7 linked regions of the Sus scrofa genome follow. The protein of the gene in region 5 interacts with the protein of the main gene of each other region in a pairwise test. Links are inferred from orthologs where the notes say so. Each region holds a gene or a part of one and is shown on either strand. Other genes may lie near its edges. The genes, in order: PRPF31, HCK, KIFC3, LNX1, MTUS2, TSHZ3 and WAC.

Region 1 (4,192 bases), on a different chromosome or scaffold from region 5:
AGTCCAGAGACAAAGCCCTGGGCTGAGGGAGGGACTGGGGTCCAAAGATACACAGAATCCCAGGTGATGACAGGGGAGTCCCAGAGAGGTCTCAGGACCCAGTGTGCCAGAAAGAGACCCACAGAGAAGCCCAAGAGGCCTCACTCCCCACAGGGCTGGTTCTGCCCTGTGCGCCCACCTCCTGGGCAACTAAAAGAAGTCCTGGGAGTTCCCTGGTGGCGCAACGGGTGAAGGATCTGGTGTTCTCACTGCTGTGGCTCATGGCACAGGTTCGATCCCAGGCCCAGGAACTTCCACGTGCCATAGATGCAACCAAAAAAAAAAAGAGAAAGAGAAGTGCCAACCTCCAAGGTAAGAGCCCACTGGGAAACCCAGATTCCAGCACAGGTAGACAGGCGCCCCCAGCAGCACTCTGCTTTTAGGGCAGAGAGCCTGTCTGCCCCACCCCAGCCCCGGCCTGGCACACTAGGGTGGGAGAGGGAGTCCTTGGCAAACACTAGACAGAAATAACAGCAGTGCCCCATCACAGGGCCTTGACGGTGCGCCCAGTGCTAAGTGCTGTCCCATGCAGCATACACAAGTCCCCAGTGCTTGCGGGTGCGTCCGGTGGTGTTAGTCTGGAAGCCTGGAAGGCAGAGGCCAGCCGCCCAAGATGCCACGACCACCCAGGGGGCCTGCGTTGAAAGCTGGGGCTCTCAGCAGCCACACTGCTCTGGTGCCAGAACCACCGAGGTTCTCTAACGGGGCCTGGACGTGGAGAGGGCGGTTCTCTTCCTGGGATCGCGTGACCTGGACTCCACGGGGCCTGAGCTTTGTCCCCCAAACCTTGCAGCTCTGACACCTCAGTGGCCCAGGTGTTTGACAAACGATCACTAGCCAAGGACAGGTCCTGATGATGTGCTTTTAATCGCACTTTCCCCCCAGAGTATCTCCTTTCCCAGTTAAAAAGGACGCGTGACGAAGCCTGGCTCTGGTGTCTGAGGGAGGCGGCATTCTCCGTGCTTGGGGGCTGGGCCTCCTGACATCCCAGCACCGGCGACGGCCTGGCGGCTCTCCCTGCCGCCACCTCCCAGCCCCATCCTGACCCCTTCAGAAAGGGGGGGGCCTCTGTGTCCCTTCAGCGGGCAACCACCCAGGGCGCCGCCCCTCAGGTGGACATGATGCCGCTTTTCTCGCCCTTGACCTTGAGGAACTCGGCCATGCTGGAGAAATACTTCTGGTTGGCCTCAGCCACCTTCTTCTCCGCTGCCTGTGGGTTCACGATCTCCAGGCCCTGGACAGTGAGGGAGACGGGCTGGGGTGGGGAGATGGCCTGGCCCCTGACGATGTCCCCCCAACCCCTTCTCACTGGTCCTTGGGCTCTGGGCGAACGTGAGGACAGTCCCCACGTCCCCAGGTCGAGAGACTGACTCTGTGGGTGCAGTGAGGGGCGGGGGGGGGCCCTGGGCATCTGAATTTCTAACAAGTTCCCCAGGTGATTTTAAAAACACCACCGTTTGAGAAAAGCCGGTCCTGTTCAGTTCCTGAATGAGGAAACAGTCCCAAGAGTAAATGGCCTGCCTGCACTCCCAGCACGGATCACACCAACCCTCCGAGGATTTTGCCACCGGCTCGGGACCCCACACGTGGCAGGCTTGGCTCTGAATGATCCTCCTAGAGGCCTTCCCTGGGGGTCCCCTCTCCCTCCTTTTTCTCCCCAGAACATCTCCGCTTCCAACAGACTATGCATCTTATTTATCTGTCCCCTGCTGCCCCATAAGCCCCACAAGGGCAAGACTCCCTGTCTCCTGTGGCTCCACCCGAACGCCTGCAGTAGGGCTCGGAATTTAGCAGGCACTCTCTCAGCAGTGAATGAGCTGTCACTCCTCACGCTCATGCTCCGTGGGACACATGGGCCCTGCCTGCTGGGCGAGTAAACTCAGGTGTGGACAGGTGAGGGACGTGCACTGGCGGCTGGGCTGGGATCCGAGCCTTCTCACGTGGGGCGCCAAGGTGGCCCCAACCACCCAGTCCCCTGCAGGTGAGGACCCAGGCCTGAGGGAGGGGCTGAGCCTGCTCGAGGTCAGAGACTAACTGGGCCCTGGTGACCTCGCTGCGTGTCGGCAAGGGAGCTGCACCCTTTGGAGGCTTCCGTGGTGCCCTGGGCCCCAGCACACACTCATTTTGTAGGCAAGGAAGCTGAGGCCCAGGAGGGGAAGGGAGTGGAGCCGATACCTGGAGCGGGGTGAAGGCCACGCTGGAGGCGGTCCCCGAGGAGCGGTCTCGGATGGTGGACTTTCCGCCATACACCACGCTCTGCTTCTGCAGGGTCCGCTGTGGGAGGGCAGGGAAAGCAGGGCCGGCTGGGGTCAGGGCCTGAGCACCGGCGGCTGCCCCACCCTGACCCCTCGGGGCCCCGCCGTACCTGCAGTGTCTTGGAGATCCTGGCTTTGGTGGCCTCGTTCACCTGCGTCTGCCGCACCCGCCCACTGCCTGACTTGCCCAGGTGGCCGAGGCTGAAGCCCAGGTCCTCCTGATAGGCGTCCTCCTCGATCTGGGGGTGGGGGCATCCTGGGGTCAGCCAGCTCCTCAGCCAGCTAGATGCCCGGCATTCACCCCAGCAGTTGCTCCCCTGGGCACCTCCTCAGGTACCCGGGAGAGGGGCCGTGTGTGTGTGTGTGTGTGTGTGTCTGTGTGTGTGATGTCTATCAAGAACCAAAATAGGCCTCACTGACCAAATAGCATCTTAGCTGGTTCTTGCAGCATCAGTAGCGTGACGCGTGGGTGACAGAGCCTGGCAGGGAAGCCCTACGGACGGCAGGGCAGGGGAAGGAGGAAGGGGAGGGATGAGCCTGGGAGGTGGATGCGAAGCCCCAGGGTGAGGGGCTGGTGCTGAGAGAGAAGCAGATCTGTGTGAAGCCGGGTGGATGGGGTGGGACGAGACTGGAGGCCAGGGGACCAGGGCAGAGACTGAGGGGTGGCCCCAGATCTGAGAGGAAGGGATGCGGAGGAGGAAGGAGGGAGGGGGACCAGGGCAGAGACTGGGGGTGGCCCCGATCTGAGGGGAAGGGATGCGGGGGGAGGGGGGCCCTGAGGGCCTCGCGGGCCAACCTCCCCGAAGCTCATGCGGTTGGCCTGCTTGCGGATCTCGGTCAGCCCCAGCCGCTCCTTCATCTTGCGGTACCTGTGGAAGGGCAGGGGGTCAGCTGGGAGGGGGCGAGCCCATCCCCTCACCCTGGCCTGCCGGCCCCTGGGCCCCACCTTCGGCCGCCTCGCTTCTTGCGCTGCCCGTCCAGGGGCGCAGGCAGCGGCTTCACCTGCTTCACGGGCGGCGGCTCCTGCCACTTGTCGAACTTGCGCTCGATCTCATCCTTGAGCTCGTAGCCCACCTGGGGAGGATGAGGCGGGGGTCCTGCAGCTATTCCGGGGCGCCCTCCCTCCTCCAGGGGCCACCCCCACCTGGAGCCAGCCCTGGAGGCCCTGGCCCCTGGGGCTGCATCTTGCGCTCAGACCTCTCCTCTCAGCGCTGTGCCCACAGGCAACTGCCCAGGCAGAGCTGCTGCGCCCCCTCCCCAGCCTCCAGCCAGCTCTGCTCAGGTCCGGAGGCGGCGATGCCCTGGCCTCCGTCCACCTCTGAGCATCCCACCGGGCTCTTCCTGCAGGAGGGACCCCAAGTCGGCCCCCTCTCGGCGCCTTTGCCAAAGCCAGGCTCTCGCGAGAGCGCGCTGTCCAGCCAGCCTCCGCTCCCCGGGGCCCACCGTGCTCCAGCCCCAGAGCCTGGGCCTGACCGTTCCCTCCGCTTGAGACACCCTTCCCCCAGGCTCCACGGGACTCCCGGCTGATGGCACTCAGGTCTAGGCTAAACCCTCACCTCCTTGGAGAAGCCCTCCCTGACATGTGGTTAGTCAGTCCAACCTCCCCAGCCTCTGCTCAGCACCACTGGACACACAGCAGATCGGCCTGCGTCTCCTTGCCCCGCCTCCAACGGGAATGGAAACGTCGCGGGGCAGGGCTTCTGTCTGCGGGTGCACTGCTGGACCCCGGCATCCAGACCGGGGGTCAGAGAGAGCGAGACCAGATCCCTCAACGCTGTGCCAGGCCGGGAGCCTGGGAGACGAAGGTGCACAAGACAGAAACACCTACCCTCGCAGAACAAGTGTGCCAAGGAGGCGAGGTTGCTGGAATGGGTACTGAAGGGTGACAGTGCTGGTGG
Region 2 (4,231 bases), on a different chromosome or scaffold from region 5:
CCTGGTATCTGTTTTGCGCAAAGCTTCTTTTGGGGGGAAAACAGCCATTCTTTTGATATTAAAAGCTCCCCGGCTTGCGGCTTTGAACACTTACAAAATCCTGCACTGTACCTCACCCAGAGCGGGAGCAGGGCACGGATGCCCCAGAGAAAGCCTAGAGGGAGACAGAAATGGCTGAGACCCCCTGTGGCTTGTAGGGGCTGTGCTGGGGGAGGTCCAGGACAGAAGGGTCAGCGATGGCCGTGGGGGCTTCACTGTGGCCACAGAGGGGAGATTCCACAGGACAGAGAGGTTTCATGCACACTAAGAAAGGGGTGACTTTAAGATGGGAAAAGCCCAAACGTTTTAATTTTTAACAGGCCAGCATCCCAAACCCACAGTACCATCTAGCTAGAGGGAGGAAGCAAAGGAGAAAAAAACATGGGGTCAGTTTTCAACTGTTTGGCTGATTCTGAACTGGGTCTCTTGCCACCTTAGAGTAGAGCCATCTTTTTATTTGTCGGTCTCACCCCAAACTGTGAACATCTCCAGGGAGGAGCCCTCCCTGAGTCACCTAGTACCCCTGGAATAGGGCTGGGGGTACGGGAGGTCCCCAGCAAGTGTCTGTGGGATGACCGGGTGGATGGACAGATGGATGGACAAATGAAGTATAATTCTATGTTTTCAGAGTCAAGTTAGACACAAAGAAACTGCAGCCAAGAATGAAGGGTTATTGGGCTCTCCTTGAGGGCTGGGGGTGTCTCATTTGTTCTGCAGCCCCCAGCCTGGCACAAAGCTAGGTGCGGCACAGGCACATGTTTGCTGAATGAGTCACATGAGAGATGACGCCCTGGAGTGAGCTGGCTTGGCTCTCAGAGGACCCTCTCTAAAGCAACTGTATACTTTATCCAACAAACATTCATTGAGCACTGACTGCATGCCAGCCTGTGCAGGGGATGCAGCAGACAGGCAAGGTCCCTGCTCTCGTGCGCTCCCCTTCTCGTGGGGGAGCCAGACAGTGAACCTGTGAACAGCCAAAGAAATAAGATCGTTTTTGCTCATGAGAAGTGTTCAAAAGGGAATAAAACCAGTTTCCATGAGAGAGAGAGTCACAGAGGGGACCTGCTTGAGACAGGGTGGCCCAGGAAGGCCTCTCTGAGACCTGAAGGATGAGAAGGAGCCAGCCAGCAAAAAGCCTAGGAAGAGTATGCCAGGCAGGAGAGACAGTGACTGCAAAAGCCCCAAGGTAGGAACAAAGCTGACTCTGCCCATGCTTCCTTCTGGTGGGCAGGGAAATAGAATACTTACTCCTCTGTCTCCAGAGAGTTGACGCGGGCAACATAGTTGCTTGGGATGTAGCCCTCGTTCCGGGTGGCGAGGGATCGAGCTCTCCACCACTCCCCAGACCTGGGGGACAGGGGCAACAAAGGGGTCAGGGGGCAGGAGAACCACCCCTGGTCCTCTTGGGCCCCCAGCCTTGGCCTAGAATCCCCCCAACCCCAGAAAGCTGGTGGGATGAGGGGCGGGGTCACTAGAGTCCCAGCCCCCAGTCTGCACCCCATGATTAAGGTAAGTGTCCTCACAACAGCCCCCACTCTGAATCCCTGGGTCCATCTAGGGCTGGAATCAAGCCCTGTCCCCACATTCATAGCCCACAGCTCTAGCCTCACCTTTATTCTCTGGACTTGTGTCTTTTGCCTAATTCTCCATATGTGAGATGGGGCCCTGTGCTCATGGCAGATTCGCAGTAGCCCATTGGGGCCAAGAGCCAGAGGGAGTGGGCTCAGGAATCTGACCAAGCATAACCACTCCCATCCTTGGGCCCCAATATATACTGGACACTACAGCCACGGCTGGTGAACACTGCAGGAGGTTGGAGGTCATCAACTCAGCGATCCATGGATTTCTGAATGCAAAGTCACCTCAACAACGTCTGGTCCATAGGTAAGTCTACAGTTTAGTCACAGGTGCCTGAGGAAGGCTTCCCCGAGAAAGCCTTTTCAGCTGTCCATTCTTGCCTGGATGTGTGACATTGGCAAGTGCACAAGCCCCTTTATTGTGGCTTTAACCCAGCTTAGCAGGAAACCCTTCTTCCTTTATTGGTAATAGGTTCTCATTAGTCATTTACACTCTAGTATAATGTAGTCTATCAAGTTTTTAACTGAAGCACAAAAGAGAGCAGAATTGAGTGTTAGAGATGGGTATGTCTTGGGGCAGGGAGTGGAATGAGGACTCACTCCTCCAGGACCACCATCTGATCCCCCTTCTGGAAACTGAGGTCTTCATGGTGAATGGCCTCGTAGTCATACAGGGCAACCACAATGATGTCCTCAGAACCTGCTGGGAAGAGAGACACATAGGATGGTAAGGCTTTACGTGAGCATTCCCACAGCCCTGGGTGTTTCCCACCCCAACACCTGGTACCCAGCCCTATACCCCCTCATGTGTCTGTCTCACGGTATATATAAGTAAGCATCTTGGTGTGCTGGGTGTGATTCTAGAGTTTAAAGCTAGCGAAGTTTTTGAGTTCCCATTGTGGCTCAGGTCAAGGACCTGATGATGTCTCTGTGAGGATGCAGGTCTGACCCCTGGCCTCACTCAGTGGGCTAAGGATCTGGTTTTGCTGTAAGCTACAGCATAGGTCACAGATGCAGCTTGGATCCAGTGTTGCTATGGCTATGGGGTAGGCTGCAGCTGTAGCTCACATTTGACCCCTGGCCTGGGAACTTCTGTATGCCACAGGTGCAGCTGTAAAAAGGAAAAAAAAAAAAAAAAAAAGAAAGAAAAAGCTAATGGGATTTTGTTCACGTTACGAAACAGCGTTATAGAAACACAATAGCCTATAAAAGTACTTTGGGGGCAGTTTAGGGGATTTTCAAGGGTGGTTGGGATTTTTGCCCCAAGCTCTGACTGAGAACCTAACCTAATTCTCTTCATACTACAAGACCACTGCACCTGTTTGCCAGATACTTACCCTCTGTGGCCTCGGGTGGGTTGCTTTGGCTGCTGTCTGGCCACTGTGGGGAGAAATGGGACAGGGGGTTGAATCCAATAGTGTGTATGGAGCCATGAAGGTCCATGTCCAAAGGATATCCCAGCCCTGTGTGTTGTGGGAGGAGGCCCAGAGAGGGCTGTGGAAGTGCCCGAAGTAACACAGCATATTAGGTGCACAGCCAGCATAACAATGAAGGTCTGGGAGTTCCCATTGTGGCGCAGCGGAAGCAAATCCAACTAACAACCACGAGGTTTCAGGTTCAATCCCTGGCCTTGCTCAGTGGGTTAAGGATCTGGTGTTGCTGTGGCTGTGGTGTAGGCTGGCAGCTGCAGCTCCAATTGCACCCCTAGCCTGGAAACCTCTATATGCCTCAGTTGGGGCCTTAAAAAGCAAAAAAAAACCAAAAAACAAAAAACAAACAAACAAAAAAACCAAACAAAAAAAAAAAACAGATGCAGGTCTCTCAGCTTGTGGGCTCTGCCTTTAGCCTTGGACATACTGCAGGACACTGACTTGTTCCTTCCACTCAACATACAGTGAGGGGGTTGGTCTAAATCAGTGCTTTCCAAGGCATGTTTGAAGAAGCCCTTGGTCTACCGACATGGCCCCAAATAAAGGCTCCACTGTGTATATTAAACAACCTAAGTATCCATCCAAAGGGGAGATGGCGCCTGTGCTGCGGTGCTCAGGCAGCCCTAATAAGAGGATGCTGCTTCGTTCCTGGCACAATTAGACCTCAAAGATGTATTATTTTACTTTTTATTTTCGGCTGTGCATGTGGCACGTGGAAGTTCCCCGGCCAGGAATTGAACCCACGCCACAGCTGTGACCCGAGCTACAGCAATGACAGCGCTGGATCCTTAACCCCCTGAGCCACCAGGGAACCAGAGATATATCGTTAGTGAACAAAGCTAGTTCTTCAGAATTCTAAACAGGACACATGGACATAAAACATCCTTCACTCATCTGGACACATACTGAACACCCTGGAATGGAAATTCATGAAAAAAGGTTTGCAAGGGTCCACACCAAACTGACAAGAGCCTCTGCCTCTGGGGTGGGGTGTGGTAGTTCTTGGTCAGCAGAAACCATCGCTTTAGCTGTAACTTGTGATTTTTATTTTCAAGGAAAATGAATTTATGTGTCACACACATAGGTAAACATTAACTTAAAGAAACAGGGTTAGGAAACCCTGAGAATTATGTCTTTTGGGGAGAGATTCACGAAGCCCATTACAAAGATTCCTAAAGGCTCTGA
Region 3 (3,540 bases), on a different chromosome or scaffold from region 5:
TTGGGCATCTTCGCCTCCTCTTAACTCCAGGCTGGCCTCCTCTTAACTCCAGGCTGACCTCCCCTCCCTGCCCTCCCTCCTGCCCACGAGCGAGCAGGAAGTCTGACCCGCTGGCGGCCAGAAGCAGGCCTGCGATGGTCCCCGTACCTCTAGATGCTCCTGGCTGGACCAAGACCCGAGCTCTGCCCTGCGGGACCCGGGGCCCAGCTCCACGGAGCGCACCCTCTCAGCAAACTTGAGGGAGTAGAGCGTCTCACTGGTGTTCTTCTCCACAGGGGACACCTAGGGGACACAAGAGCTCACTCCCCACCCTGCCAGCCGGCTGCCCTCACAGAACTGGAAGGGGTACCAAAGGGAGCTCACAAGCAAGGGGCTCTAGAAGGTTCCCCAGAGAAAACTGAGAGGGAGGGGAGCCGGAAGGGCAACCGAGGGTGGTGTGTACAAGCACGGGGGGAGGGGCACATGTCACAGACTAGGGAGCTGCTGCTGACAAGGGGCCCTTCCCTCCGCCCGTGGCAGTTACAGGCCACAGGGGAAGGGGGTGGGGCCCTGCTCTTGGAGCCAGTGGAACCCCTAACACGCAGGTGGCCACCTGAGGCCCTCACCTGCACCACCATGAGGGTCTTGCTGTCCCCGCTGAGCGAGTCCTGCAGCAGGTAGGTGAGCTTGGAGTTGCGAAAGGGCACGTGGCCCTGGCGGGAGCGCAGAGCAGCAATGACGTCCCCCAGGGCCGACAGCGACTTGTTGATGTGCTGCGCCTCCCGCAGGCGGCTGCCCTCCGCCCCCGACTTGCCCACGCGCTCTGAGCCGGCCAGGTCCACCAGGTTCAGCTTCCCTGCGGGGAGGGCACCGGGCAGGTTACAGCCGCCCCAGGACGAGAGGCGGGGGTGCTCGGGCCGGGCGGCCGCGGCCCTCACTCACCGGTGGTCCGGAGGCCGGTGCTGCAGTCCACGCCACGCACCGTCACGATGAGCAGGGCGTGCGAGCGCGAGCTGTGCTCGTTCAGGTTGGTGAACTCCGTGGTGCGGTTAGTGTGGCCGAACTCAAACACCTGGGCCGAGGGCGAAGCGGGCAAGAGGCCCAGGGGTGGTCGTCAGGTACCCAGGCGAGGGGGCGTCACCCTCAGCCTGCATCCCGCCCCCAGCCTGTCCTGGGGACAGCGGCGCGGAAACTCACCTTGTTGATGTCCTCCACGCTCTGCACCTGGAACTCCGTCAGCCCTGGCACGTACAGCTGCCCGCTGCCGTTGGGGCACAGCCGGATCTCCAATTTCTCCTGGGGCTCCTGCCCCAGCAGGTCCCTGAGGGCACGAAGGATGGTCACTCCCTCTTTCCAGTCTGCCTTCTGCCGGCACTGCCCCCACCCCCAGCCTGGAATGTTCTCCAACCATCACACTATGCAAAGCTTTCCTAGACGTTCCTTGGGCTAAGGCCCCCCCCTCCCCCGGGCACTCAGTCCACTGAAAGGCAGAGAGATGACAGGATGTTCCCCCAAAGTCTTTTGGTGGTGCTACTCCTGCCCCCACAATGCACTGAGCCCCTGGGGGGGGGCAGGTCTCCCCAAGGTTCCACTCACACTTTTTTTTTTTTTTTTAGGGCATATGGAGGTTCCCAGGCGAGGGGTCTGATCGAATTGGAGCTGCATCTGCTGGGCTACGCCACAGCCACAGCCAGGCAGGATCCCAGCCGTGTCTGCAACCTACACCACAGCTCATGGCAACTCTGGATCCTTGACCCACTGAGCCAGGCCAGGGACTGAACCTGAAACCTCATGGTTCCTAGTCAGATTTGTTTCTGCTGCACCACGAGAGGAATTCCCCCACTCGCACTTGACACCCACCACCTGGTACAGCCCACAGGTAGGGTGCGGACAATCGGAGGGGAAAAGGAGTGCCTGGGTCTGAGAGTGCCAGGGGGCCTCAGAGCCCTCCTCCCTCCTGCCTGCGAGGTGCTCAGAACCTGGTCCCTGGGGCAGAGTCACGACAGGCAGCTCCAGACTCTCTTCTTCAGGGAGCCCCCACCTCGCAGCCCACATACCTCCTCGCAGCCCTGAGGACCAAAAGCTGCCCGGGAGGGCCTGCGCTCCTGCTAAGGGCCCCGCCCGAGGGCCCCTCACCTGAGGACCTCGTTGTAGATCTCGGCCGCGCTGACGGTGATGGTGTACTCCCAGTCGGACGCCTTCTCCTGCACCTCGGCGAAGAGCAGCTGCAGGGCCCGCTGGTTGATGCCTGGGTTCTCAGGGGTCCCCTGGGGGTGGAATCAAGGCCCCAGTGAGCCAGGCCTCTTCCCCACCACGAGGGCTGCCCCATACAGATGCTCACGTGGTGGGCGGGGCCCCCACCTGCTCTGGCTACCCCTCACAGGCCAGCCTCCCTGACCGAGGCTCCCATCTGCATGCAGATCTGCCCCCCAAAACGGCCTCCACCAGCTACAAGCAACTTTATCTCCTTGGGTCTCAGTTTCCACACCTTTGAAATGGCCCCACCTGCCAGGATTGGACCTGAGACTTAAAGCAGAGCCCTGGGGGAAGCTCCTGGCCTGGGCCTGCACACAGGGGCTGCTGATGTGTACCTGGCCCTGGTGTCACCCGGGAGGAGGCATTGGCAATGTATGATGTTCCTGCCACTGCCTTGGGGGTGGGGGAGGGGCTCAAGGTCAGGGAGGCCATGAGCTAGACTCTGTGGGTGGTGCAGCGGAGGCACAGGCAGAGTGGGCAAGTGACCTGAGGCCGGATGGCCTGGCTGGCCTTTCAGAAAAGAAATCTGGAGTCCTTCCCTGAACCTCCCACCCTCCCCAGCCCCCACTTCCACTTCTGCCACTGGGGCCTCCTTGCCAGGCCTCAGTATCTCCAAGTACCCTCCAGCCTGCTGTTCCCTAGGCCTGGAGTGCTCTTCTCCGCACTCCTGGGACTGGCTTAGGAGGCTTCTCCTCCCCCTGAAGGTCTGATCCCTCCCTCACTGTTGGTTCCTCATACCTGGATCAATTTTTCTCCCTGGCACCTGACAGCACACCCCTTGCTTTGCTATGTGCACTGCTGGCTCCCACTGGCAGGATGGCTCTGTGGGGGGCAGGCACTCTGTGGTCACCACTGTGCCCCGGCTCCAGGCACGGTGCCTGATGCACATCTGCCTCAGCAGGGAGGGCTGGGAGGATGGATGCTCCTGGTGGTTACCTCAGCTCTAAGCACCCAAGGAGTTCCCACTGCGGCTCAGCTCAAACAAATCCAGCTGGTATTCCCGAGGATGCAGGTTTGATCCCTGGCCTTGCTCAGTGGGTCAAGGATCCAGCATTGCTGGGAGCTGTGGTGTAGGTCACAGACATGGCTCAGATCTGGCATGGCTGTGGCTGTGGCCAGCAGCAACAGCTCCAATTCGACCCCTAGCCTGGGAACCTCCATATGCCACAGGTGTGGCCATAAAAAGAAAAAAAACAACAAAAAACAAAAAACCCCCAAAAACCCAAAAACTCTAAGCACCCAAGACAGAGCGGGAACCTAGGAGCTGCACCCCACCCCCAATCTGGCTTGGCCTGCCCCTCGCTA
Region 4 (4,231 bases), on a different chromosome or scaffold from region 5:
TAAATAAATGTGAGGGCCTGTGTAGGGACAGGGCTGAAGAAAGATGGTGTCTACTGAGAGATTTGAAAAGGTGTGCAGGTAACACCCAAGGAAAACGGAGTTAGGAACCCTGTGGGATGATGGGGGTTATCTGGACGTTTGGACAGAGGTTAAGGTGACAGCAGAGCGGTCCTTCAGGAAGGGCCCTGGTGATCTGTGGGCTGGCCTTTTAGGCAGGGTTGCAGGGGGTGGTGCTGATGGCTCGGTCACTCCAGATTCTGAGGGCCCCTTCCGGCAGGTCAATGGGATGGACATCAGCAACGTGCGTCACAGCTACGCCCTGCGCCTCCTGCGGCAGCCGTGCCATGTGCTGCGCCTGACAGTGCTGCGGGAGCAGAAGTTCCGGAGTAGGAATGACACGCCGCCCCTGGACACCTACGGGCCCCGGGATGACAGTTTCCATGTGATCCTCAACAAAAGCAGCCCCGACGAGCAGCTTGGCATAAAACTGGTGCGCAGGGTGGATGAGCCTGGGGTGTTCATTTTCAACGTGCTGGATGGTGGTGTAGCGGACCGCCACGGTCAGCTGGAGGAGAACGATCGGGTATTGGCCATCAATGGACATGATCTTCGGTACGGCAGCCCGGAAAGCGCCGCGCATCTGATTCAGGTGGGTTCCTCGGGGTTCCAAAGTCCCGGTGGGAAACTGCCAGCATGAGCAGGAATGCTCATCACCCTGCCCCATCTACCTGGTTACTGCCCCATGTGACATAGGGTGACTCCCTTTCAAGGAGTCAAGGGTGAAGGGTCAGGTAAGAACATTACTCCAGCAAATGGGTCTCTCAGGGTCATGGCCATTATTACATTGGTGTTGCCAGACATCCAGTCTGACTGCAGGTAAATACACTGGGCTCTGTGTTGCAAGCTCACCAGGTTAAGATCACTCAAGGCTGGCCGGGTTGTGTCATCCTTGTACCCAGTATGGTAGTCGCAGACCCAGGGGTCACTCAGACACATTCTGGACACATCCAAGGCATCTAGTTGTACTAATTCCCATAAGAAGCTGTGTGGTGGCACCCTCCAGGCATCTTGTGGACTAAGGTTGGCCAAGCCTGAGCCTCATCTTCATGGCTAAGCCCAGACCCCTTGGAAAGCCCAAGGGAACTCAAATATGAAGCTAGAGAAGCCCGCCATAAAAGAGGCATTACAAATGATTATTACTCAGGCAAGTTCACAATAACCTGAACTTGGTTCAAATTAATTCACTCTCCTGATGGATGTGATTGCTACCAAGTGCCAGCATGCATCTTGTTGACTCTGACTGGGTCACCATGAGGTTGTCTAACATTCACTGAGCTGCCAGTTTTATCCCTAGAGGGACAGGCTTTGTCCTGGACTCTTATATTCTGTTCCATTTATCCACTTCATTTAGCCAAAATGTATTCTGTTTTTGCTGCTTGCCTAGCCCTGGGTTAAGTGCAGAGAACAGAGGGGTGATAACCTCTTAGGCTGCTCTCCCAAAGGAGCCCACCATCTAGTAGAAGAGGTGACTTTTTCTAAATAACTGCTGTGTGGCGTGATGATGCGTGATGGAGAAATTAAGTATAGCGCTGGTGCAGACAAAGGAGAGATTTTTTTTTTCCTTGGGTGGGGGTCTAAAAATCATTCACAGAGGAGAAAAATCTTCAACAGGGATGTTGAGAGGTCAGAAGTTCTCTAGGTGGATAATGTGGAGAGGGTCATTCTAAGGAGATACAACACAGAAAAATATTTCCCCAAAATTCCAGTTGGGCTACATTTTATTTTATTATTGAAATATAGTTGATTTACAATGTGTTAATTTGTGCAGTATAGCAATGTGATTCATTCATTTATATATATGTGTGATTCATATACTCTTTTCTGTTATGGTTTATCTCAGGATGTTGAATATAGTTCCCTGTGCTATATACTAGGACCTTGTTGTTTTCCAGTCTATATATATAATATTTTGCATCTGCTGATCCCAAATTCCCAATCCATCTTTCCCCACCCCACCCCCCTTGGCAACCATAAGTGTGTTCTCTTTTTTTTTTTAACTTTATTTTATTTTTCATAATGATTTTTAATTTTTTCCATTATAGCTGATTTACAGTTTATGTCAATTTTTCTTTTTTGGTCTTTTTTTTTTTTTTTGGTCTTTTTAGGACTGCACCTGCAGCATATGGAGGTTCCCAAGCTAAGAGTCTAACCAGAGCCACCACAGCCACAGCCACAGGATCTGAGCCGTGTCTTCGACCTATACCACAGCTCACAGCAACACTGGATGCTTAACCCACTGAGCAAGGCCAGGAATCAAACCCGCAACTGCATGGTTCCTAGTCAGATTCGTTTCCGCTGCTCCACCACAGGAACTCCTGTCAATTTTCTACTGAACAGCGAGGTGATCCCGTCACACATACATTGTATATTTTTTTCTCAGATCATCATGCTCCATCATAAGTGACCAGACATAGTTCCCAGTGCCATACAGCAGCACGAGTCTGTTCACTATGAGTCTGTTTCTGTTTCATAGATAAGTTCATTTGTGTCATATGTTAGATGCCACCTGTAAGTGATATTATATGGTATTTGTCTTTCTCTGTCTAATTTACTTCACTTAGTAAGAGAATCTCTAGGTCCATCCATGTTCCTGCAAATGGCACCATTGTCTTTAGAAGTGGCAATAGATAAGGCAGGAGTGGTAGGAGACGCCCACATCATGTGGAGTTTTATAAGCCAGGCTAAGGAGCTCAGACTTTATCCCCAAGGCCATGAGGTATTATTGGAAGTGTTTGAAAGAAAGTGACATGATTTTCTAGAAAGATCTCTCTAGAGGCAGTGGAGAGCTGATAGGAGAGGGGTAAGGTTAGAGGCCTTGTCTTAAGATGCGTTCGCACTTATCCGGCACATCATGTCAGCTTCTACTTAGTGATGAAAGTATTAATATTTCAAGTATAGACCAAGCGTCAGTAGCAGTGGTTGACTGGACTTTGTACCAAGTTCAGTGAAGGATGTTAGAAGACAGAGGCTGCCATCAAGGACTTGATGAGCTAAGTACAAAAATATCTCTCTACACTTGGGTCCCAGTCATGATGTTCTTCCAGGTATTGGCAACTCTTTTCACCATCGTGTGTAGTATCTTTTTTTATTTTTATTTTTTGCTTTTTATTTGTTTTTTTAGGGCCTCACCCATGGCATATGGAGGTTCTCAGGCTAGGGGTCTAATCAGAGTTATAGCTGCCGACCAACACCACAGGCACAGCAAGGCCAGATCCGAGCCACATCTTTGACCTACACCACAGCTCACGGCAGTGCTGGATCCTTAGCCCACTGAGCAAGGCCAGGGATTGAACCTGCAACCTCATGGTTCCTAGTCGGATTCGTTTCCGCTGCGCCGCAATGGAAACTCCTGTGTGTAGTGTCTTATCTGTCTTTTTTTGAGGGGAACCAAGTAGCGAATGAAAGTACTGTTATTTTAGATGTGGGAAGCCTGAGACAGAGGGTGCAAAAGGACTTACCTTGCTGCTTCCACCTGCCAGGATGGGAAGCACACATGGTGCTTTGGCCCCTGAGCTGAGGCTTTTGATGGTATCTCAGTTCCAAGGTGATTCTCAACCTGATGAACATCCATCTGCCTTATGAGGCCTGAGGTCATGCCTTGTGGAGCAGGTGAAGAACAGAACCAGAGTTAGAAGAGGCATTTCCTTTCTGGAGTTTATGCCATCTATTTCCAAGTTCACATGCGCGGGCCCAGCTTCTCTGATTGCCACACTTATATATCCAACTGCTCACTTGGTATCCCCATGCAGATGTCTAAAAGGCATCTCAGATTTAATGTCCAAAAGTGAACCCTTGGCTTCTCCCCACTCCATCCCTTGGCAGATCTGCTCTTCCCTCAGTCTTTCCCCATCTCTGGAAATGGCACCATTACTTGGACCAAAAAGAGTCTTCAACTCGCTTCCACATCCCCTCCCTGACTTCCATCAGCTTTGGTCTGGGCCACAGCAAGAGCCTCTTAACTGGACTCCCTGCTTCCACACTCGATCCCCACTCTGCTCGCCACACAGCAATGTCAGTCCCACCATCTCACCTTCTTGCTCTCAGCCCTCCAAGTCTTCCCAAGACACTCAGGTTACAATTCCAAGTCCTTGGAGTTCCCGACTTGTCTCAGTGGTAATGAACTTGACTAGGATCCACGAGGACACAGGTTCCATCCCTGGCCTTGCTCCGT
Region 5 (4,231 bases):
TCTTTCAAACCGGACAGACTCCAGGGGTCAAATCCATCCCACTGTTGGAGTTCCCATTGTGGATCAGCAGAAATAAATCTGACCAGCATCCATGAGGACGCAGGTTCAATCCCTGGCCTCGCTCAGTGGGTGAAGGATCTGGCATTGCTGTGGCTGTGGTGTAGGCTGGCTGCTGCAGTTCCAATTCAACCCCTAGCCTGGGAACCTCCAAATGCCACAGGTACAGCCCTAAAAAAAAAGAAAAAAAAAAAAAAACCCACCCCGCTGTCATTCAAAAATAACTTTAATGTTTTCAAGAGCTTCAATGTCTATCATTTTGTTGGGTAATTTGTCTCTAGTAAGATAACAAATTCTTTACAAAGGTGAGACGTATGCCTCAGATGCCTCATCTGTGCACTTTTAATAAAACAAGAGAGTCTACAAAAAGCTTCACATGCTTTGCTTTCATCTCTATTGACAGGACAGAGCAGGATTCACTGCAGTCACAAATGCAGACAGATTCAACCCAAATGGGGCTTTTCTCTCCTTCTCTAAAGGAGTCTTTCTAGAGAAATAATTTTGAAAGCAAACTAAAGCATCTTTGTGATTTCAAACTTCTAAAATCTCTCAAGTCACACAAGGAACTAATAAGTTCTCACTAGATTGTCCCCCTTCCCGTTTGCCCTGTCCTGTTCTCAGGGGACCATGGGCCGGGGAGACACCAGGCAAATGCTGAAGCTTCACTGGGACAGGTGCAGGGAGAGGGCTGGGGATGGCTCATGGTGTCACCTTGATAGGCAACGCAACTCAGAGAGTTGGGCAAGGATTATTCCAGATGTTTCTCTGAAGGTAATTTTTTTTTCTTTGGATGAGATCAACATTGAATTCAGTAGACCTTAAATAAAGCAGATTACCTCCTGAGGTGGGTGGGCCTCATCTAATCAGTCAAAGGCCATAACAGAAAAAGACTGACCTCCCTCAAAGAAGAGGGAAATCTGCCAACTGACAGCTTTTGGACTTGAACCGCGGCATCAACACTTCCCTAGGTCTCCAGCCTGCCAGCCCACCCTGCAGATTTTGGATACGCCAGCCTCCATAACTGTGGGACCCAATTCCTTACAGTCTCAATAGATAGAAAACCAGGTACACACACCCATGCCTGTGTAGACGATCTGTTTCTCTGGAGAGCGCTGGCGGACAGCGGCCCACAGTGATGAGGTGGTGCCAGTGAGGGGAGGGGAGTCCAGCCCCCCCCACCCCTCCGCACACCTGTATCCTGCAAGCACACTGCCTCACCTGGTCCTCAGCCCTGCTGCCCTCCTCCTCCTCCTCCTTATACCAGTCCCTGATGCCAGGGCTCCCCGAAGGTGTCAATAGGAGGAGGTGCCCCCAAGGCCTCAGGAGAGCCAACAGCAGACAGCAGTCTGGACAAGCAGGCCCACTTTATCACCCTGGCATGACTGACCCAGGATGATCTTCAGAGCCACTTCTGAGGCTAAACACAGATGGGGAGCCTGTGGGTTCCATCAGGTCATAGCTTTAGGAGCAAAGGCCAAAGACCACCCTACTCTCCGAGTTTGATTAGACATCTCCCCAGAAATGAGCTCACCACTAACAGGGGCTCGGGCTTCTCTGCTCTACCCGGCAGCCTGAGGAAAGGGCCTGGGCCTTGGATTATGGCAGAAAATGGCCCTCAGCAACAGCAGGTGGCACGCAGTGACACTGCTGTCCCCACACCAACAGGGTCTCTCCAACCCCTCCGAGCGCCTAAAGCCACACAAACACCCATTCCCTCCCATTTCCTGGAGCCTCGGGGTGGCTTCTAGAGAACTGAGAACAGAAAACATTTGGGGGAAAATGTGCCTCTAACATAGAAATTATTCTATATTTCATGGAGGGAGTGGAAGCAATAAAGAAAAGAAACATATACAAGAAAAATTAAGAAAGGCCACAGAGAAAGGCCTGCAGCTAGTAACAGGATTTCTGCCTATGTCTCCAAATAAAGTTTCTCTCACAAATGTATTTTTGCAGAGAAAAATCCAAGGGACCTTTTGTGTGCGTGTGGAGGGGGTACCTAATTACTTTATTTGAACCACCGGAGCAAAGGAAAGTCACCAATAAAGCGACATTTGAACAGAAACCTACAGGAAGTGAAGGGCAGAGCTACTCAGATCATCTGGGAGAAGAACAGCCTGAGCAGAGGGACGTGCAAAGGCCCTGAGGCAGCGGGGGAGGGGAGAGGAGGAGAGGCGGTCTGGAGGCAGGAGCCAGACTGAGTGCCTCCCAGCGGCTGAGCCACCCTACACGCTCCAGCCCAGGGACAGAGCGGCCTGAAGGGGGTCAGGAGAGGAGAGATCGGGTCCCACTCCTAACTGATCCCTGGCACAAGCCTCCTGTCTGAGCTCTGGGAGGAGGCCCCGCCCCAGCGCCCGGTACGGAGGAGCACAGTGAGGAGAGCAGGAGGGCCTGGGAGGGCCTGTCAGCACCGCCCTTGCTTCGCGGCCTTGGATGAGTCACTCCAAGCTCTCTGAGTCTGCTTCCCGCCTGGACAACCGTAACAGGCACCGTCTAGGGGACCACTGCTGGGATTAGGGGGGACCAGCCAAGACAAAACGTGGTGTGATGTGGGCCCCAGGCATAGCAGGGACTCAGCTGAGTGCTGGCTGTTACTGCTATTCTGACTTAAGACAGGGCCCGCACCTAACACCTTATTTTCTAGTCGCTGTGCTGCTGACGTGGACAAAAAAGAACTTCTCCCGTGGGGGACATGGTCCCCCTTAAAGGGACCTAGAGAAAGTGAAGGGCAGAGCTGTTCCGATCAGCTGGGAGAAGGACAGCCTTCCTCCAGTCTCTGCCATCCTTAAAGGACAAAGCTGACCAATCTGAACAATATGTTTATCTTGGATTTTTTTCCATTGACCTGGTTTACGGGCGAATTACGCTCACATGGTTAAACGAGGAAGCCCACTTACATGCATGCTCCTCTAACGCTCCTGCATTTATTCTGTCGGGTAGAATTTAAATGGGTCTCTTCGGATCCATCAGCTTCCTCTCCTTCTGATCATCAAACTCTTCTCATGGGAACTGGCCATTTGCCTCCCGCCTCCTCTAGTTACAGATGTCCATTTCTACACACGCCCATCCGCCACAACCTGCACTTTGCTAAGAGGACACTCTGTTCTGACCCTTCACTGAACACACATAACGAACGCCAGGACGTGCGACTCACAGACCGGGCCACAGCGACCTTCTCTTACCTCCTGCAGAAACTTTTCACTCATTTGACCGAAGGGGTGTCCCGGGGGCTTGATCCCAGACACCACCAGCCCGGAGCTGAACACCCGGGGCCTCTGCAAGTCCGGCTTGAACTTCTCGTAGAGGCCGGCCGCCGGCTTCAGGTCCCCGCCCGCCCCCTTCTCCTCTTTGGGGAGCGGCACGGCACACGCGGGCGGAGCGTAAGGAAGGCCCACGGGGACCAGCGACGCGTCCACCTGGCCCAGGGCCTGGGGGCCCCTCCTGATGTACGTGATGATCTTGGGCCTCACGGGCTTGGGCTTGGGCACGATCACGGCCTTGGGGTCCGCCCTCTCCTCCGGCTTCTCCGGCTGGGGGCCCTCCAGCCCCTCCTGCGAGGCGGCCACAGGCTTGGGGATCCCGGTGGGGCAGGCGCCCTTGTCAGGCACTTTCGGGGCAGCGAGTGACAACCTCGCGCTGTCGGCGGGGGGCGGGGCAGCCGGGGAGGACCCCGCGTCCACACTCCAGGCGCCCGGGTCCTGAGCGCGGCTGCTGGGGGGTGGAGGCTGGCGGGACACAGTCACAGTTGTCTCTGGGTGGAGGGGCACTGGGACCCTGAGAAGGGGTTCTGTTCTCGCTGGGGTGCTTTCAGTCTTAGCATTTTCTAGACGGTCCCTAGTCTCGACAGGGCACGCAGGGATCTCTGTGCCTTCGCTGGCTTCTGAGGTGCTGCCGGGAAGGGGCTCAGGGACCCCAACTTTGCTCCCTCCAGTGGAAGGGTCTGAATTAAAAACTCCAGGGCTGTTCTCGTTCCCAGGGCCCAGGACCCCATTCTCCGCCCTGGGATCCAAGGGCCTGCTGTCCCTCGAATCATCAGGAGTCAAAGCCACGTGACCATCACCTGCTGAAACGCGGCTGGATGCCACAGTGTCACCCAGTCTGCTGGCTGCGCTTGGGGAAATTCGACCTATGGGCTGATGATCAGCAGCCCCCAAGGAAGCAGGGCTCTGTGTGGGGG
Region 6 (5,005 bases), on a different chromosome or scaffold from region 5:
CCCTGCAGCAGGTGTCCCAGAGCCGCATGCTGCCAGAGCCCAGCCTGTTCAGCACGGTGCAGCTGTACCGGCAGAGCAGCAAGCTCTACGGCTCCATCTTCACCGGGGCCAGCAAGTTCCGCTGCAAGGACTGCAGTGCTGCCTACGACACCCTGGTGGAGTTGACGGTGCACATGAACGAGACGGGGCATTACCGCGATGACAACCACGAGACCGACAACAACAACCCCAAGCGCTGGTCCAAGCCTCGCAAACGCTCGCTGCTGGAGATGGAAGGGAAGGAGGACGCCCAGAAGGTGTTGAAGTGCATGTACTGCGGCCACTCGTTCGAGTCTCTCCAGGACCTGAGCGTCCATATGATCAAAACGAAACACTACCAAAAAGTGCCTCTGAAGGAACCCGTCACTCCCGTCGCCGCCAAAATCATCCCCGCCGCTCGGAAGAAGGCGTCGCTGGAGCTGGAGCTGCCCAGCTCCCCGGACTCCACCGGCGGCACCCCCAAAGCTGCCCTGGCCGACACGAACGACGTGCTTCAGAAGAACTCCAACCCGTACATCACGCCAAATAACCGCTACGGCCACCAGAACGGGGCCAGCTACGCCTGGCACTTCGAGGCCCGCAAGTCCCAGATCCTCAAGTGCATGGAGTGCGGCAGCTCGCACGACACGCTGCAGGAGCTCACGGCCCACATGATGGTGACTGGCCACTTCATCAAGGTCACCAACTCGGCCATGAAGAAGGGGAAGCCCATCATGGAGACGCCCGTGACGCCCAGCATCACCACCCTGCTGGACGAGAAGGTCCAGTCCGTGCCCCTGGCTGCCACCACCTTCACGTCCCCCTCCAACACGCCCGCCAGCACCTCCCCGAAACTCACCGCCGAGGTCAAGAAGGAGGCGGACAAGGAGAAGGGGGTCGCCGAGGAGAAGCCCAAGGAGAAGGAGAAGGCCTGCGAGGAGGAGGAGAAATATGACATCTCCTCCAAGTACCACTATTTGACGGAGAATGACTTGGAAGAGAGTCCCAAGGGGGGACTCGACATCCTCAAGTCCCTGGAGAACACAGTGACGTCGGCAATCAACAAGGCCCAGAACGGCACCCCCAGCTGGGGGGGCTACCCCAGCATCCACGCCGCCTACCAGCTCCCCAACATGATGAAGCTGTCTCTGGGCTCCGCGGGGAAGAGCGGGCCCCTGAAGCCCATGTATGGCAACAGCGACATCGTGTCCCCCAGCAAGAGCCAGACCCTGGTCTCTCCACCCAGCAGCCAGACCTCCCCCATGCCCAAGACCAACTTCCATGCCATGGAGGAGCTGGTGAAAAAAGTCACCGAGAAAGTTGCCAAAGTCGAGGAGAAAATGAAGGAGCCCGAGGGCAAGCTGTCCCCGCCCAAGCGGGCCACCCCGTCCCCGTGCAGCAGCGACGTCAGCGAGCCCATCAAGATGGAGGCGTCTAGCGACGGGGGCTTCAAGAGCCAGGAGGACAGCCCCAGCCCCCAGCGGGAGGGCTGCAAGGACGGGAGCCCCCCTGCAGAGCCGCTGGAGAATGGCAAGGACCTGGCGAAGCCCATGAGCAGCAGCTTGAGCAGCAGCACGGCCATCATCACCGACCACCCGCCCGAACAGCCCTTCGTCAACCCTCTGAGTGCCCTCCAGTCGGTCATGAACATCCACCTGGGCAAGGCCGCCAAGCCCTCCCTGCCCGCCCTGGACCCCATGAGCATGCTGTTCAAGATGAGCAACAGCCTGGCCGAGAAGGCGGCCGTGGCCACCCCGCCGCCCCTGCAGTCCAAGAAGGCGGACCACCTGGACCGCTATTTCTACCACGTCAACAACGACCAGCCCATTGACTTGACGAAAGGCAAGAGTGACAAAGGCGGCTCTTTGGGCTCCGTGCTTTTGTCACCCACGTCCACATCCCCGGCCACCTCCTCCTCCACAGCGACCACGGCAAAGACCTCTGCCGTCGTCTCGTTCATGTCAAGCTCGCCGCTCCGCGAGAACGCCCTGTCCGATATATCGGACATGCTGAAGAACTTGACCGAGAGCCACGCGTCCAAGTCCTCCACCCCTTCCAGCATCTCCGAGAAGTCGGACATGGATGGCGCCACCCTGGAGGAGGCCGAGGAGGCGACGCCTGCGCAGAAGAGGAAGGGCCGCCAGTCTAACTGGAACCCCCAGCACCTGCTGATCCTCCAGGCCCAGTTCGCCGCCAGCCTCCGGCAGACCTCGGAGGGCAAGTACGTCATGTCGGACCTGAGCCCCCAGGAGCGCATGCACATCTCCCGGTTCACCGGGCTCTCCATGACCACCATCAGCCACTGGCTGGCCAACGTCAAGTACCAGCTGCGAAGGACAGGTGGAACAAAGTTCCTCAAAAACTTGGACACCGGCCACCCCGTGTTCTTTTGCAATGACTGCGCGTCACAAATCAGGACTCCCTCCACCTACATCAGCCACCTCGAGTCCCACCTGGGCTTCCGGCTACGGGATTTGTCCAAACTGTCCACTGAACAGATTCACAATCAGATAGCACAAACCAAGTCACCGTCGGAAAAACTGGGGACGTCCTCCCCGGAGGAGGACCTGGGGACCTCCTACCAGTGCAAACTCTGCAATCGGACCTTTGCGAGCAAGCATGCGGTTAAACTTCACCTCAGCAAAACACACGGGAAGTCCCCCGAGGATCACCTCCTGTACGTTTCCGAGCTAGAGAAGCAGTAGCGTTGGCTTTGGATTCAGACGACTGTGATTTGCTTGGAGGCAAACGGTTGCAGGCACCTTCAGGCCCCTCTGTCTTGTTCTTGGCACATGTTCTCCCTTTAACTGCAGAGAATCACACTCTGGGCTGGACTGTTTTTTGTATAACTGTACAGTGTTTAATAGAGGTGCATAATCAGCTGTTGTTACTGGTAAAATATGAAGGTTAAAACGCAGTGGTAAGTGTTTGGAACTTTGTGTCAATGGGATTTAGTTGTGAGCATCGCCCGATGCTTCAAGCTGCATGCATTAACAGACAGTTTAATTAAGCATTTACGACGAAATCGGGCACACTTTTCCACACGGCTTGAGTGTGCCGGCATTTTTTTCACCCTTTCATCTTTAGCCCTCTGAGTACTTTGAAGCACTTTTGCATTCATTTGGTTAAAAAAAAATAAAATAAAATAATAATAATGTATGAAGCTCTGTTTTTTAAACTCCTTACCAGCTTAGTTATAATTAATAATATGAACCTCCATTTATGCAGGTCTGCAGGGGTATAACACGCCTTGAAATTTAAAAGAATATTATTTTCACATTGAAACATAGATGTATATATTGTATAGATTTCAGACTCTCTTATGAAAAATGTGATTGTGGTTAAATGACCTTTTTTTCCTGCATTTATAGCAACAGTGTTTTATGTACCTGCTATGCTCTGGGCAGAAGCCGTGCCTATGTATAGTGTATATTTCTTTTTCTTTTTTTTTTTTTTTAAGGTCTATGGGTTTTGTTTTTTTTTACATGCAAACATTGTAAATTATACAGAAGATACCACAGATAGCATTTATAAAGTATACAGAAACATTATCTGAAAGCAAAGTATGATTGTTTGTTTTGCTATACAGTACATTTATATTGATAGAGGTTCATGTTTAAATTATACATATTTATTAGCATCATATTATCATTTGTTTTGAGCAGTCTGAATAAATGAGGCCAGGAAATACATCCATGGCAGGCATCATAACTATTTTGCACATGATGATTTTTAAAGGTATTTATTAGAAATCAAAAAAAAAAAAAACAAAAACCAAACCCGCTCAAAATAAACTCAGTGCTCAAAGGGTTAAGTCTATTTGAAACGGAAAAAACAAAAAAAAGAAAAAAAAAGAGAGAGAGAGAGAGAGAACTTGTACTGTATTTCCTAAACATTGATAAAGCCTTTAAAATGTTTGTACTGTAATACTTTGCTTAAAAGTCACGAGGCATTCTGTGACACAACCTCTTTTACTTATTTATAAGCCCTCTTGGTTGCTACTCCATATTGTAGGATGCCTTTTTATTTCAATTGGTAACTTTCTGTTTTGTTCTTCCTAATTATTCTCCCAAGATCCCACACTGCAGCTTTATCTTTAGGCTTATGAAAGGTAACCCGTGGTTACCGGCTCTCCAAGTGATTCTGTTCTTCTCCATTTTTGGCAGTTAATTTGCAGAAGTAACTGACAGCTGACACCATATGAAAACCTATGTATAAAATATTGGCATGTAAACAGCACAGACACTGTCACACACTCTGTGCCCTGTTTTGTTGTTGACAATGAACCACCATTATGTGACTCTTCATATAACCCTCTTTTCTACGGCAGCATTAAAATTGTCTTTTTGCTATAATTTTGTGTTGCGTTCACAATTATGTCTGCAATGTGCTACGACTAACGAGCACATTAAAATTAAATTGTATGCGATCTGTTTATGACTGAGTTGGTTGCTGTGTCTGCCAGGTGCTGGCAGTCGGAAGCGGCCCGTAAATCAGGGGAGTTTAGTGAACTTTGGGTTTGGAGAGCAGCGAGCACTCCCTCGGAGGCGGTGTGGACAGCATTTCCCCCAAGAATAAAAACAGAAGAGAAAGGAAGACGCTCCCCCGAGGTTAGATTCCCACTGGCACGGCGATGATATCCGATATGGCGAGTGGAGCTTCGGTCCCACTGGGTGACCCGGGAGGGGACCCCGGAGCTGGGTCTCCCATCTGGATGAGAGAAGCCGACGTCGGGGCCCTGAGCCCTGCCCGAGGCAGATGGGCGGGGAGGGGGGAATTAAAAAAAAAAAAAAAAGGTTTTGGGAAGACTCGGCACAGGGCGGGTGATTCCATCCTGTTGATTGGGGATTTTCAAGGAGCAAAAACTGCAGCCCAGCCAGGCAGGTGAATGCTAGGGTCATTCTCTCTCTTGTGCTCAAGCACGAGGGGCGGAGGGCTGGGTGGGTGGGGGGGGTGAACCCATCCACGGGAGGAGTGGGGAGAGCAT
Region 7 (4,231 bases), on a different chromosome or scaffold from region 5:
CTGTGGTACAACTGTTGCAGTTGATGCATTACTACTAGAAGTATGATTTGGACCAGGTGATGGACTTCTCTGGCTACTAGAAAACACAATTGAATGTACTGTATTTTTAAAGTGGTTTCTACGGAATCCAAGAAATTGTCTATCAATACCTTTCATTAAAGATATCCAAATTTATTATTTTAACATCAAATAAACAGAATTTAAAATCCAAAGTATATCAGGTATTCCTAATACACTTCTGGGGGTTAAGAGCCCTTTAAACACTAAGGTCAGAGTTGGATTTAAATACCAATCAATGCTCTCCCACATTTGACAGCAGAATCAACGCTGTGTGCTGCAAATACACTAACGGAACTAAGAAGTGGTCACATTTCAAAAGTCATAGAAATAAAGCATATTTATGATATCTTAAATGCATGACAACATGGAGAGGAAAAAATACAATGCGTTTTACTGTTTAATATCAGAATAAACTGTTGAATCAGAGGGTGAAATAATGTGAAACAAAATACAGACATTCCATTGCATAACAATGAATGAGTTTAGTAGCAAAGTAAGACCAAAAAAGCAACACTCTAAGACTGGTTATCTTCTACAACTGTATGGTTTGGGCTGTGGTTTAAGGACTCGATGGTGAGAACCAAAAATTTAATCACTAAGCTCATTTCCTACCTGCTTCACACCAGACTTGGCTCTGAATCAATTTCAGTTATTCAGAAAAACTAAGTCTCCCAAACAATGAAGTCTTTTCATCACTGAGGATATTTAAAATAATACTGCAGCCTCTAAAGATAATTTAAAAGAAGAACTTCCCAAAAAAATATTCTGAGCAATGGCAACATTGCTGAAGTAGACAGTTTCCCAAAGTGATAATTTTCAAGGGAACAACCCTCATTTGGACGTCAATGTTCTGAAATGCTTATTTAGAAAACAACAATAAAAACAACAGTTGAATTATTTTACCACCTTGTGGCAAGAGATAAAAATAGGACAATATGAAAATTATTTAAAGTTCTGTTACTCAACAAAGGAGAGCGACAATACAATACAGGTCTGACAAGCAACACACAAAGGGTCAGAATTGACGCTATAAGGAGAGACAGGCAGACAGACATTCACAACAGATGGAAAACACTGACCCAAGTTTTAGATGTGAGATTTTTGTCTTCATTAATATACTCAAACGTAAAACAGCTACAAGGAAGTTAAAAACGATATTTCAGTGAGTTAATAAGTATTTTAAAATCATGTGCACTCTTTGTATAAGTAATCACATACTGCTCAGATCATATTCCACCAAGGAAAATTCTAAACAAAGTCACTTCTTTAAAACCCAGGCTTCACTACTACAGACAATCTAGTTATTGCAGTAAGATATCTGCCTTTGTAAATTTTATAATACATAGAACTAAGGCTATCCATGGATTCTTCCAAGACCAGGTTCTACTATACATACATTTATAATATCTCAACAATATGGCAATATAATGTATTAAGGAAAAAACAATGTCGTCTCAACACACATCAACTTACTTTGAGCGCTGAAGACTTCGAGGGGAAACAGGTTCATGACCTTGCTGTTTGTCAGCAGTTACAGGCTGCTGCGTGGCTGATTGTGAAACTGGTCCTTGCTTAACTACTGGAGTACTAACCTAAAATGTCAAAATCTGATTAGACAGCATTCTACCACATAGGCAAAAAGCATGAAAACTAGATACAGGCAAAAGTTCTACCAATCAAACTTTATCTCTATCCAGAGATTTTTAAGATAACCGGAGTTGACCTGATTCATAATAAGATTAACATTAGCGATTCAGCCATAGTATCTTTTAGGGGCCAAGTACACCCAAATCTTAAAACACCATAAAATCTAGAGATTTAAAGAAGCAGAGTCAAAGGAATCTCCAAAGGTCATGTAGTTAGAAAAAAAAAAAAGAGTTTTGAGACTTGGGTCTAATTCTTTATAAAACATTTCAGGGCCATAAAATTACTTGATTAGCAAACCAGCATAAGAAACTAGTTCTCTTGATTTGAGTTCAGTGTTACTTCCAGTACACTATAATACCTCTTCATATCTACTGTTGCTTCTGTTATCAATAAAAATAAATACATTATGGAGTTCCTGTTGTGATACAGCGGAACGAATCCGACTAGTATCCATGAGGATGCAGGTTCGTTCGATCCCTGGCCTTGCTCAGTGGGTCAGATATCCAGTGTTGCCGTGACCTGTGGTGGTAAGTCACAGATTCGGCTCGGACCCCACATTGCTGTGACTATGCCTATGCCGGCAACTGTACCTCAGATTCGACCCCTAGCGTAGGAACTTCCATACGCCAATAATTAATATTCTCCTAAACAAATGTGGACAGCACTGCTACTTCTGAAAAGAGCATATTCTTTTATAAAGAACATTTTTATAAGGGCGAATGTTCACTTATTTTTAGAAACAACTTGAAAGGTTTGAAATGCAAAAATAGCCATCTGCTTAAGGGATTTGAAACAATTTTATAACCAACTGTAAACCTAACACTGCCACTTATATCTCACTTCTTAGTCATCATTCACTGTACTCTAAGATAGACCCAAAGATAAGTTGTAAACTCTAAGAATAAGGTCTCTTGCTAAAATTCACATTTTAATTCTCCTCCAATCAAATTACAGGCAAACAATAAAAAACTTCATACAAACAATTTTAACTCAAAATTTTAAAAATCAATCTAAGCCAACAACCCAAATGGAAAACGGGCAAAAGACCCGAACATTTTTCCAAGGAAGATGTACTGACGGCCAACAAGCACATGAAAAAATGCTCAACATTACTGATTATTAGAGAAATGCAAATCAAAACTACCATGAGATACCACCTCACACCAGTCAGAATGGCCATCATTAATAAGGCCACAAATAACAAACAAATGCTGGAGGGGGTGTGGAGAAAAGGGAACCCTCCGGCACTGTTGGTGGGAATAAAAGCTGGTACAACCACTATGGAGATCAGTATGGAGGTACCTTAGAAATATATATATAGAACTACCATCCTATGACCCAGCAATCCCACTCTTGGGCATATATCTGGACAAAAATTTCCTTGAAAAAGACACATGCACCCCATGTTCACTGCTGCTCTATTCACAATAGCCAAGACATGGAAACAACCAAAATGTCCATCGATAGATGACTGGATTAGGAAGATGTGGTATAGATAAACAATGGAATTCTACTCAGCCCTTAATAAGAAGAAAATAATGCCATTTGCAGCAACATGGATGGAACTAGAGACTCTCATCCCAAGTGAAGTAAGTCAAAGAGAAAGACAAATACCATATGATATCACTTCTATTTGGTATCTAATAAAAGGCACAAATGAACCTTTTCACAGAAAAGAAAATCATAGACTTGCAGAATAGACTTGTGGTTACCAAGGAGGAGGGGGAGGGAGTGGGGTGGTTGGAGAGCTTGGGGTTAATAGATACAAACTGATGCCTTTGGAATGGATAAGCAATGAGATCCTGCTGTGTAGCACTGGGAACTATGTCTAGTCACTTATGATGGAGCATGATAATGTGCAAAAATAGAATGTATACATGTATGTGTAACTGGGTTACCATGCTGTACAGTAGAAAAAAAAATTGTATTGGGGAAATAATCATTAAAAAGTACTAATAATAAAAATCAATCTAGACTGAACCTAAAACTTGCATAAATAAGTGGTTGAAGCAGGGAAGTGATGAGCCAATGGGAATACCACAGAGATGGCCTACTATCAATTTCAAGCTACATTTCAATACATTTTTATCTTTAGGATTCTGCTAAAGATTTTATTTGAATAGAATTCTTTGGCACAAAAGATTGAAACAGCCCATTGTTTTACAACTAAACTACAACACTGTTCCCGTCGTGGTGCAGTGGTTAACCAATCTGACTAGGAACCATGAGGTTGCAGGTTCAGTCCCTGGCCTTGCTCAGTGGGTTAGAGATCCGGCGTTGCCGTGACTGTGGCGTAGGTAGCAGACGCAGCTCGGATCCCTCGTTGCTGTGGCTCTGGCGTAGGCCAGCGGCTACAGCTCGGATTTGACCCCTAGCCTGGGAACCTCCAAATGCCACAGGAGCAGCCTTAGAAAAAGACAAAAGACCAAAAAAAAAAAAAAAAAAAAAAAAAATTTCCTCCTAGAGTTATCCGTAAGACTGAAAAAAAAAATTTACAACTTGTATATACACCAACTTCAAGTTC

What was found.
Region 1: the proteins of MTUS2 (region 5) and PRPF31 interact in binary tests that used the Homo sapiens proteins (3 or more experiments, as listed by UniProt). The two-hybrid records come from large-scale screens. The link is inferred for Sus scrofa from reciprocal best matches to the Homo sapiens genes MTUS2 and PRPF31.
Region 2: the proteins of MTUS2 (region 5) and HCK interact in binary tests that used the Homo sapiens proteins (3 or more experiments, as listed by UniProt). The two-hybrid records come from large-scale screens. The link is inferred for Sus scrofa from reciprocal best matches to the Homo sapiens genes MTUS2 and HCK.
Region 3: the proteins of MTUS2 (region 5) and KIFC3 interact in binary tests that used the Homo sapiens proteins (3 or more experiments, as listed by UniProt). The link is inferred for Sus scrofa from reciprocal best matches to the Homo sapiens genes MTUS2 and KIFC3.
Region 4: the proteins of MTUS2 (region 5) and LNX1 interact in binary tests that used the Homo sapiens proteins (3 or more experiments, as listed by UniProt). The link is inferred for Sus scrofa from reciprocal best matches to the Homo sapiens genes MTUS2 and LNX1.
Region 6: the proteins of MTUS2 (region 5) and TSHZ3 interact in binary tests that used the Homo sapiens proteins (3 or more experiments, as listed by UniProt). The two-hybrid records come from large-scale screens. The link is inferred for Sus scrofa from reciprocal best matches to the Homo sapiens genes MTUS2 and TSHZ3.
Region 7: the proteins of MTUS2 (region 5) and WAC interact in binary tests that used the Homo sapiens proteins (3 or more experiments, as listed by UniProt). The two-hybrid records come from large-scale screens. The link is inferred for Sus scrofa from reciprocal best matches to the Homo sapiens genes MTUS2 and WAC.

The regions. Positions count from the first base shown.
Region 1 is NC_010448.4:55,994,206-55,998,397, forward strand, and holds the end of PRPF31 (U4/U6 small nuclear ribonucleoprotein Prp31), read right to left. Parts: intron 3,369-4,192; coding exon 3,241-3,368; intron 3,164-3,240; coding exon 3,091-3,163; intron 2,534-3,090; coding exon 2,405-2,533; intron 2,314-2,404; coding exon 2,215-2,313; intron 1,274-2,214; coding exon 1,148-1,273; 3' UTR 882-1,147; downstream 1-881. UniProt on the Homo sapiens protein: Involved in pre-mRNA splicing as component of the spliceosome. Required for the assembly of the U4/U5/U6 tri-snRNP complex, one of the building blocks of the spliceosome.
Region 2 is NC_010459.5:35,728,852-35,733,082, reverse strand, and holds part of HCK (tyrosine-protein kinase HCK), read right to left. Parts: intron 2,997-4,231; coding exon 2,954-2,996; intron 2,320-2,953; coding exon 2,217-2,319; intron 1,387-2,216; coding exon 1,288-1,386; intron 1-1,287. UniProt on the Homo sapiens protein: Non-receptor tyrosine-protein kinase found in hematopoietic cells that transmits signals from cell surface receptors and plays an important role in the regulation of innate immune responses, including neutrophil, monocyte, macrophage and mast cell functions, phagocytosis, cell survival and proliferation, cell adhesion and migration.
Region 3 is NC_010448.4:19,661,849-19,665,388, forward strand, and holds part of KIFC3 (kinesin-like protein KIFC3), read right to left. Parts: intron 2,247-3,540; coding exon 2,116-2,246; intron 1,301-2,115; coding exon 1,177-1,300; intron 1,052-1,176; coding exon 922-1,051; intron 836-921; coding exon 606-835; intron 283-605; coding exon 148-282; intron 1-147. UniProt on the Homo sapiens protein: Minus-end microtubule-dependent motor protein. Involved in apically targeted transport. Required for zonula adherens maintenance.
Region 4 is NC_010450.4:40,262,271-40,266,501, reverse strand, and holds part of LNX1 (E3 ubiquitin-protein ligase LNX), read left to right. Parts: intron 1-262; coding exon 263-649; intron 650-4,231.
Region 5 is NC_010453.5:6,199,071-6,203,301, reverse strand, and holds part of MTUS2 (microtubule-associated tumor suppressor candidate 2), read right to left. Parts: coding exon 3,237-4,231; intron 1-3,236. UniProt on the Homo sapiens protein: Binds microtubules. Together with MAPRE1 may target the microtubule depolymerase KIF2C to the plus-end of microtubules. May regulate the dynamics of microtubules at their growing distal tip.
Region 6 is NC_010448.4:41,344,834-41,349,838, reverse strand, and holds the end of TSHZ3 (teashirt homolog 3), read left to right. Parts: coding exon 1-2,723; 3' UTR 2,724-4,373; downstream 4,374-5,005. UniProt on the Homo sapiens protein: Transcriptional regulator involved in developmental processes. Functions in association with APBB1, SET and HDAC factors as a transcriptional repressor, that inhibits the expression of CASP4.
Region 7 is NC_010452.4:40,012,714-40,016,944, reverse strand, and holds part of WAC (WW domain-containing adapter protein with coiled-coil), read right to left. Parts: intron 1,653-4,231; coding exon 1,534-1,652; intron 77-1,533; coding exon 1-76.